2 linked regions of the Arabidopsis thaliana genome follow. The protein of the gene in region 1 purifies or fractionates together with the protein of each later gene. This does not show direct contact. Each region holds a gene or a part of one and is shown in the gene's direction. Other genes may lie near its edges. The genes, in order: NRPB6A and NRPB8A.

Region 1 (3,784 bases):
AGAACTATCCCTCATACAAGCTGTTGGGATCACAAAGTTTGATAGTTACATTGAAGGTCTAAGTGGCTTGAGTCTCTCTTTTGATATAACTCGTAGGTTTTTCGATGGTGTTTTGAATCTTTTAAACGAGGTATATAACATAAATACATTTAAAGGTTATTTAGTTATGACTTATGAGATTGTATGTTGTCTAACTATGACGCATTATGCAGACAAGTCATACTACATCTAGGAAAATCCTGACCCAATCCATTGCAGTCCTTTTAAAATCTTTTGATGTTAAATTGGAAGTGAGGATGAATGGGGGTTTGATCTTTCAAAAAGTCGATGGACCGGCCTCAAAAGGACATATGAAGCTACGGAACACGAACCCAAGGGATAATCCTTCAGTGACATTCAACTACTATCAAGAACCAGAGGATTTGAACAAGTGTGTTAAAGGGCTTAACACCATTATTAGAATGATAAATTCCAAAGCTTTCTCCAAGTACAAGTATCCGGGTGTGACGGCACGTGAACTGCTCAATCTCATGTTGGCCCTTCCCATCAATTTGAGGCCAAGGCACGTGACCTCAGCGTTCAACTTGAAGCAGTTTTGCATCGACACCGTGACGAGTGTTTGGCATTACCATGGAGGTTGCCAAGTTGGAAAAGTGGTTGACAAGAATTACAAAGTCTTAGGCATAGATGGCTTAAGGGTCATCGATGGATCCACATTTCTCAAGTCTCCCGGGACTAATCCTCAAGCCACGGTCATGATGCTTGGAAGGTAAGCACAAAAACTAAATAATCACAACATCAATAAATAAGATATGATGTTTGAATAAAAATCATTGTGAAAGTGCTATGTGTAGGTACATGGGGCAGGAAATTATTCGGCAAAGAGCGGCTTTCCACGAAAAGTAACAAAAAGCCTAAGGTTCTTAATAGAGAGTAGACAAAAGTTTTCTCATCTATTATTACTTGTTGTGTTATTGTCTTCTAACATTTTCACACAAATGAAGAAAAGTAAACAAATTTTATTTCTACCCGTTACTAATACACTAGATAATACTTTCTCTTTCTAAATGATAAAGTGAAATAATAGAGATAAAAAAAAAAAAAAGAGATTTGGTTTTAAATATTCCATTGAAAACACAAAAATGACAATTTTTGTGAAACAAAATTAAAACCTTAAAATGACACGCGTCCTCGAAGTCCAACTTGACGCAGTTTTGCATCCACATTGTGATGACTATATGGCATTACCATGGAGGTTGTCAAGTTGGTCGACAAGAATTACAAAGTTTTAGGTATTGATGCCTTAATGGCCATTGATATGGATCCACATTTCTCAAGTCTCCGGAGACTAATCATCGAGCCACGGTCATGATGCTCGGAAGGTAAAACGCTCATACTTAATGATCATATGATTCTTCGAGTTGTGATTGTCTTGTTGAGACTTGAGTGTTATGTGTAGGTGTACATGGGGCAAAGGATTCTTCGAGAGAGAGAGTTGCTTTTCGAGAAGTATTTTCTATGATTATTCGATCGTTTCTCCAACTAAAGATGAGACCAGACAAGTATATGAATATGTGATCATCGTCCAAAGAAAAGAAAATTCTAACATAATCAGTATATATCACATGTTCCATGATTATTTGGAATAAAGAAGGAAATTTGATTCAGTTGTGGAGTTATTCTTATGTGGGCCTAAATTGGGCTTGAAATTAAATGGTCCGATTATAAAGTTTACTAAGCATAGTTAAATAAACTGGATCATTTAAATTTTATTCAGTTCTTAACTTCATTGATTCATTCTGCGTCGTTCGGAACTCTGCAACGAGAGTTAGGGTTTATACAGAGCAAAGAGAAGGAGAAAGCGAAACCAAAAATCGACATTAATGGCTGACGAAGATTACAACGACGTCGATGACTTGGGGTTATTCTCTCTTCCTCTCTCTCGGTTTCATATCTATTCATTATTCGTGCTCGGATTTCAAAAGATTCTATCTTCTTCTCGACGAATTCGTAATCGATTTAGAGTAAATTGGATTAGTTAATGTCTAAATTAGCAGTTTTTATAGATGGGTTTCTTCGATGAAACGTTGCTTCGATTTTGTTCGGTATAGTACTGATTCTAATCGATTTTAAGGTAGAAAGTAGAAACCCTAATTTCATTGAGAAAAAGCTATTTTTTAAAACTCTATGAGCTTTTCTAGTGAAACTTGTGAGTAAATTGAAGAAAATTTGGGCTATTGCAGATATGAGGATGAGCCAGCAGAGCCTGAGATTGAAGTAAGTTCAATATTTTTTCTTTGTATAAGAGACATGGTTATTGCTTATTATACAACTTTCGGTTTCTGATTGGTTTTTTTTTTCTTGTGTAGGAAGGAGTAGAGGAAGATGTTGAAATGAAGGAGAATGATGATGTCAATGGTGAGCCTATTGAAGCTGAAGATAAAGTCGAAACAGAACCTGTGCAACGTCCACGCAAAACGTCAAAGTTTATGACCAAGTATGAGCGTGCTCGTATCCTCGGCACTCGCGCTTTGCAGATTAGGTATGGTTCTTGCTACTGAGAACAATCTTTTTAATGTTAAATTGGCTTGAAAAGTTTGAGTCTTAATGTTGTTTTTTGGCTGATACAGCATGAATGCTCCTGTCATGGTTGAGCTAGAGGGTGAGACTGATCCACTTGAGGTGTGCTTACCTACCTTCTTGTTGTTGGTTTTTGAAGTTATGTCTCAGTAAACTTATATGAACATTTGAGCTAATTTATTATGATTTGGATTCAGATTGCGATGAAGGAGCTTAGGCAGCGGAAGATACCATTCACTATTAGACGCTATCTACCTGATGGGAGGTGAGAGATTGCATTGAGCTTATATTATTCTCTTCACTCACTTGATCTCTTCTTTTCTTGTGACTTACTTATGATTCCTGAAACAGTTTCGAGGAATGGGGAGTTGATGAACTGATCGTGGAAGACTCATGGAAACGTCAAGTTGGTGGTGATTGATAATCTGACCAGAGACAAATCGACAAATACGTATGTAACTTGCAAGCTTTCCTCTCTTATGGATGATAAATTTTCTGATGTTGTAATGGAACTAAAAATCAGTGAAACTTATGGATAATACTAGACTCATATTCCGAAATTCTGCAAAACTAGAAGCCCCAAGTACCATAATTCCACCATTATTATACATATTAGAAACAGAACATGAACAGATGTACACATTCATACTCTTTAAGTTAATCATACATTGATTAAAACAATTCCAAGATCAAGATTTTCTCAAAACAAGTAATATCTCACGCTTCTTTATCCGGTTTGTTGTATATCTCCCTCTCTTGAAGAATCCTTTGGCCCATATACCTACACAAAACACTCTGACACAATCAGTTCTTAATCAAATCATTAACATGTTTTAGATTATTTGGATCATTTGGTTTATGCATTTACCTTCCGAGCATCATAACAGTAGCTTGAGGATTAGTCCCCGGAGACTTGAGAAATGTGGATCCATCGATGACCCTTAAGGAATCAATGCCTAAGACTCTGTAATTCTTGTCAACCACTCTTCCAACTTGGCAACCTCCATGGTAGTGCCAAATTGTCATCACAGTGTCAATGCAAAACTGCCTTAAATTGAACATCGAGGTTATATGCCGCGGCCTCAGATTGGTAGGAACGCTTAGCATTAGATCGAGTAGTCCATGTATGGTCGCGTCCGGGTACTTGAATTTGGAGAATGCCTTGGAGTTGATCACTTTAATAATGGTGTTGATCCCTTCAACA
Region 2 (4,267 bases), on another chromosome or scaffold:
TCATGCGATTTCAAGACGAAAATGGCGTAGTTTTATTCAATCGAAGGCAATTTTGAAGATATCAAAAAGATCGATGCTTCAATTGCTTGATCTCTAACGTGTCAGTTTCTTTCTTTTTGTTCAGCGACGATCCTTCTTCAGTGGCCATGGTTTCTGGAGATACAAAATCGGATGCGAACAACGTTACTTATGGGTTCGTGAACTTTTGTATTTCCCAAAGCCAATTTTGTGGAAATGAGAGAGATCGATCGATGCTTAAAGCTCTGCTTCAACTAATAATGTCAATTTCTTTCTCTTTTTTTCAGAGACCTTCCTTCTTCTCCAGCGGCTACGGATTCTTCAGAACCTTCTTCCTATGCGTTAGTGAATTTTATTGTATTCTTTAGAACCAATCTTTTAGAATTGATCTTTGCTTTTCTGGTTATGTTTTGATTGATTTGTTATCTCATTTTCAGTGAACAGCTTGAAAGGCTCATGATGATAGATTCAGAAGAAGACCGGGGTCCCTCTGGGTTTGTGACCTTCTCGATTCTTTAACCACCAATCTTTGTTTTCTCTGGTCTATCTATGTTTTGATATTACTCTTTTTTTGTTGGTTTTGTTTCAGGTTTACGACTGATGAATTGATCTTTCAGGCTTTAGAAACAGTCTACGAGAATCATAATGGTCTTGATGTCGATGCGATTTTCACTTTTATCAAGGTTAGGAGGATCTCTCTGTCTCTATAAGTATCTGTGTTTCATGGTCATATCTCATGAGTAGTGTATATTGGTTCTGAAATGTGAGTCAATAGCGGGATTACACAATGGAACATTAGGATCTGAAAATTTGACTTCATGTTCCATCCCCTAAAAGTCTTCCTTTTAAAGTCTTGGTTTTGTTGATTCCTCCGTTGTTCTTGATCAACTAACCATCATGTTCTTGTGGTTAATATAAATTGCAGGAAAGGAACGAGTTACAGGAAGATTTTAGGGAGCGGTTGGAAAACCAGCTGAGATATCTAGTTTCTGAAGGCCAAGTATACAAGGTAACTAGTTTTTCAGAGTTGCCTCACACTAATGTTAAGATTCAGTAGTTTTGTTTGATCAGTTCAGAAAAACGGAAAAAAAAACTTGTAAATGCAGGTAGGAAACCTCTACAAGATCCCCCGTGGTGTATTTGATACTCCAGTTGTGTCAGTAGGAGATTCAAATCAAAGAGAAACCATGGATCCAGAAGATTCCACGGGCACAAAGGCACAAGACACACCAAGTACTTGTGCTTCTTTCGCACCACCAACAACAGAAGTAGATCCTCGGATAATCGCATTAGCAAAAGAAGTCGCAGAGGCAGAACACTTGGAGTTGGAAGCAAAAGAGGCATACGAACTTGCAGATAAACACGCCCAGTTGCTAAAATTAGAAAGCAACATAACCTTGCAGTTAGCCGTAGAAATCCTTAATCGATGTAAGTAATGTCCACCTCTTAACCTTTTATCATCATCATCATCACTGACTTTTTCATTTGATTTGGTCCTTGCAGGTGCTAACGGTGAAAAGATTTTCCTGCTGTAAAAGCTTTGACCTTCTGGTCCGGTTCAAGGTGGATATATTCGATCACCGGTTTCTTTTTAGTGTTTTTGGTTTTGAGTAAAAAAAAGAGTGTAGATATGAAATGTGATTTCATTTGACTAACTAGTCATAGTTTGTTACTTTGTGGTTAAATGATTTTGGTTGTGAAGGCAACAGACTATTCTGTTAGTTTTTGTTAATACAAGTTTTTACAGATAATGCCAATCTTAAGAATTGAATAGGTTTTTCTAATACATAACATAAGAAAGAAAAAAAGAAAGTGTGTCATGGTGTCTTTAGCAAGTATTTTTAACGGTCGAGATTAATTTCAAATACTGATCAAGAAAGAAAAAAATTAGTTATGAGAATTACAATTTTATAATGGGCCTCATTGTAAGCCCATTATAAGCTTACATAGGACTTTTATGAGTTTTTGTTCTCAGTCTGTCCCTTTAATTGTTTTTTGGCTCTTCTATCGCCCATCGCTTGGGAGATTAAAGTCTGAACTTTTTGATCTCAAGCTTCTCCATCTCTCCCTCAACTCAAGCTCCTGGTTCGGAACTATTTACTTTCCTATGCGATTGGTTGTTTATAAGTTGATTTCAGAGTTCGGATTCTTGTACTCATTAGATGTCCATATAGGTCTTGTTTACTGGTTTAATTGGGGTTTTATCAAGGAAATAAAGAGTGTTTAGGGTTTGAATTTCCGTGTTTGCAGATGGCGAGCAATATCATCTTGTTCGAGGATATCTTCGTGGTCGATCAGTTAGACCCTGATGGCAAAAAGTTCGATAAAGGTATACACTTTATTAGCCTCACTCACGATTTCTAGTACTTCTCATGGCTTACATCGACGTTTGTTCATAGCTGTTTAGTTCATGTATGTATTGTGAATGAGTTCTTCCGTTTATCCTTTTTTGGTCTGAGTGTGTGGGTTTTGTGGAAAAATTTAACTTTTTAAGTTTTTAGTCTCCCCCAAGTTTTGTTCTGTCTTCAGATTGAGTGGCTTTCTCTTAAACCTACAATGATTTTTGTTGTGTTTGTGGTTACAGTTACTCGCGTTCAAGCTACGAGCCACAACTTGGAAATGTTTATGCATTTAGATGTTAATACAGAGGTTTATCCATTGGCTGTTGGTGATAAGTTCACACTTGCGTTGGCTCCTACGCTGAATCTCGATGGAACCCCTGATACCGGTTATTTTACTCCGGTAATAAACTCTACTGCTTTTTATTTAGTTGTTTTGTTTTGAGTATATACACAGTCTCTTGTTTGCTTGGCCAAATTTCCATGAATGGTAACTTTGAACCCGTATCTGGATTTTGTTAGGATATAACTGTTAATGCTGCTAAATGGTTGATATTATAACTCTGTTGGCTGATTCGAGAAGCCTGTCTATCTAGGAATAAGAGGAGACATGGAATTTTAACAAGCTTTAGTTCTTGAATCTTCAAGATCTAAATTTGAAAACCAAGAATGTGTATGCATATCTAAACATTAATCTTATCTAGTTTTCATCTCGATACATTACAGGGAGCAAAGAAAACACTTGCCGATAAGTATGAATACATAATGCACGGGAAGCTTTACAAGATCTCTGAGCGTGACGGCAAAACTCCAAAAGCGTAAGAATCCCATATAACCCCCCCATATCAAAATAATTCAATCCAATTCAACTCACATATCAAACCATCATGTTTTATTTTATTTTCTTTAAATTATGTGTTTCCAGAGAGCTATATGTTTCGTTTGGCGGCCTCCTGATGTTGCTTAAGGGAGATCCAGCTCACATTTCTCACTTCGAACTCGACCAGAGGCTCTTCCTACTCATGAGGAAGCTGTGAGGTGCCATTTTTTCGGATAAAAACTGAATTAATAGAGAGCTTGATCTAATGTTTAACTTTTACTACTTCAACTCTTGCAATTTTCATGAAGCAACTCTTGTGCAAAAGCAAGTTTTTCCGTTCCGTTTTAAATCCCATTCCACAAATTGACTGCTCCGGTCCGGTGAAATGTACTATTTGTAGCTCTAAGCTATTGATGAAGATAAGCAATTGAGACCAAGAACATAACAAAAAACACAGACAAAGACACAGTTTTTTTTTTGGTCAAGGACACAGTTTTGTTTCTTCTCTAACCAATTTTCACTACACTCTTATCTTCTAACAACAATATGAAGCAATAAAGCTCGAAAAATAGATTCTGAGCCAAAAATAGAGTGTTTTCTCTAATCCATGCTTGTGTTTTCTCTAGTCCATGTTTGTGTTCTTGCTTCTTTGAGACTGGGAGAATATATCTTGGACGGTCGAGATTAGTCTTAAAAATTCTGAACAGATCAAGATTTAATTTTAAATCTGTATAGTGGGCCATGTTTAGGCCCAATAAAAGCTTTTGATGAGGCCTTCTAAATGGTATATATTTCGACTTGAAGAGAAAGAAAAAACAACTAGAAAATCGGAAGAATAAATGGACGGTGGAAGAAGGAAGCCCTTCTCGCCGGACTAGCCAAGCACGGTTCCGGAAAATGGACAAGTATTTTAGACGATCCAGAGTTCGCGGCTCAACTTCTAGATCGCACAAACATTAACCTCAAGGTAATCGAAAATTCCCAAAATCCCATTCGTCTTCCATGGAAATCGATTTTTGAGATTTATTATGTGGAATTAGGTCGAAATTTGGGTATTAATGTTGTATTGTTTATTCTTATTGCCCAAATT

The links.
Region 2: the proteins of NRPB6A (region 1) and NRPB8A fractionate together in Arabidopsis thaliana (co-fractionation; one large-scale study listed by BioGRID). This does not show direct contact.

What each region holds. Positions count from the first base shown.
Region 1 is NC_003076.8:21,102,796-21,106,579, forward strand, and holds NRPB6A (RNA polymerase Rpb6), read left to right. Parts: upstream 1-1,755; 5' UTR 1,756-1,883; coding exon 1,884-1,921; intron 1,922-2,243; coding exon 2,244-2,277; intron 2,278-2,369; coding exon 2,370-2,542; intron 2,543-2,630; coding exon 2,631-2,682; intron 2,683-2,777; coding exon 2,778-2,845; intron 2,846-2,931; coding exon 2,932-3,001; 3' UTR 3,002-3,152; downstream 3,153-3,784. Other genes in the region: AT5G51930 (Glucose-methanol-choline (GMC) oxidoreductase family protein), read left to right, coding at 1-130, 213-773; AT5G51950 (Glucose-methanol-choline (GMC) oxidoreductase family protein), read right to left, coding at 3,298-3,361, 3,449-3,784.
Region 2 is NC_003070.9:20,252,942-20,257,208, forward strand, and holds NRPB8A (RNA polymerase Rpb8), read left to right. Parts: upstream 1-1,996; 5' UTR 1,997-2,103; intron 2,104-2,268; coding exon 2,269-2,347; intron 2,348-2,602; coding exon 2,603-2,760; intron 2,761-3,083; coding exon 3,084-3,175; intron 3,176-3,282; coding exon 3,283-3,394; 3' UTR 3,395-3,747; downstream 3,748-4,267. Other genes in the region: AT1G54240 (winged-helix DNA-binding transcription factor family protein), read left to right, coding at 147-193, 306-359, 456-512, 608-701, 944-1,027, 1,125-1,446, 1,522-1,553.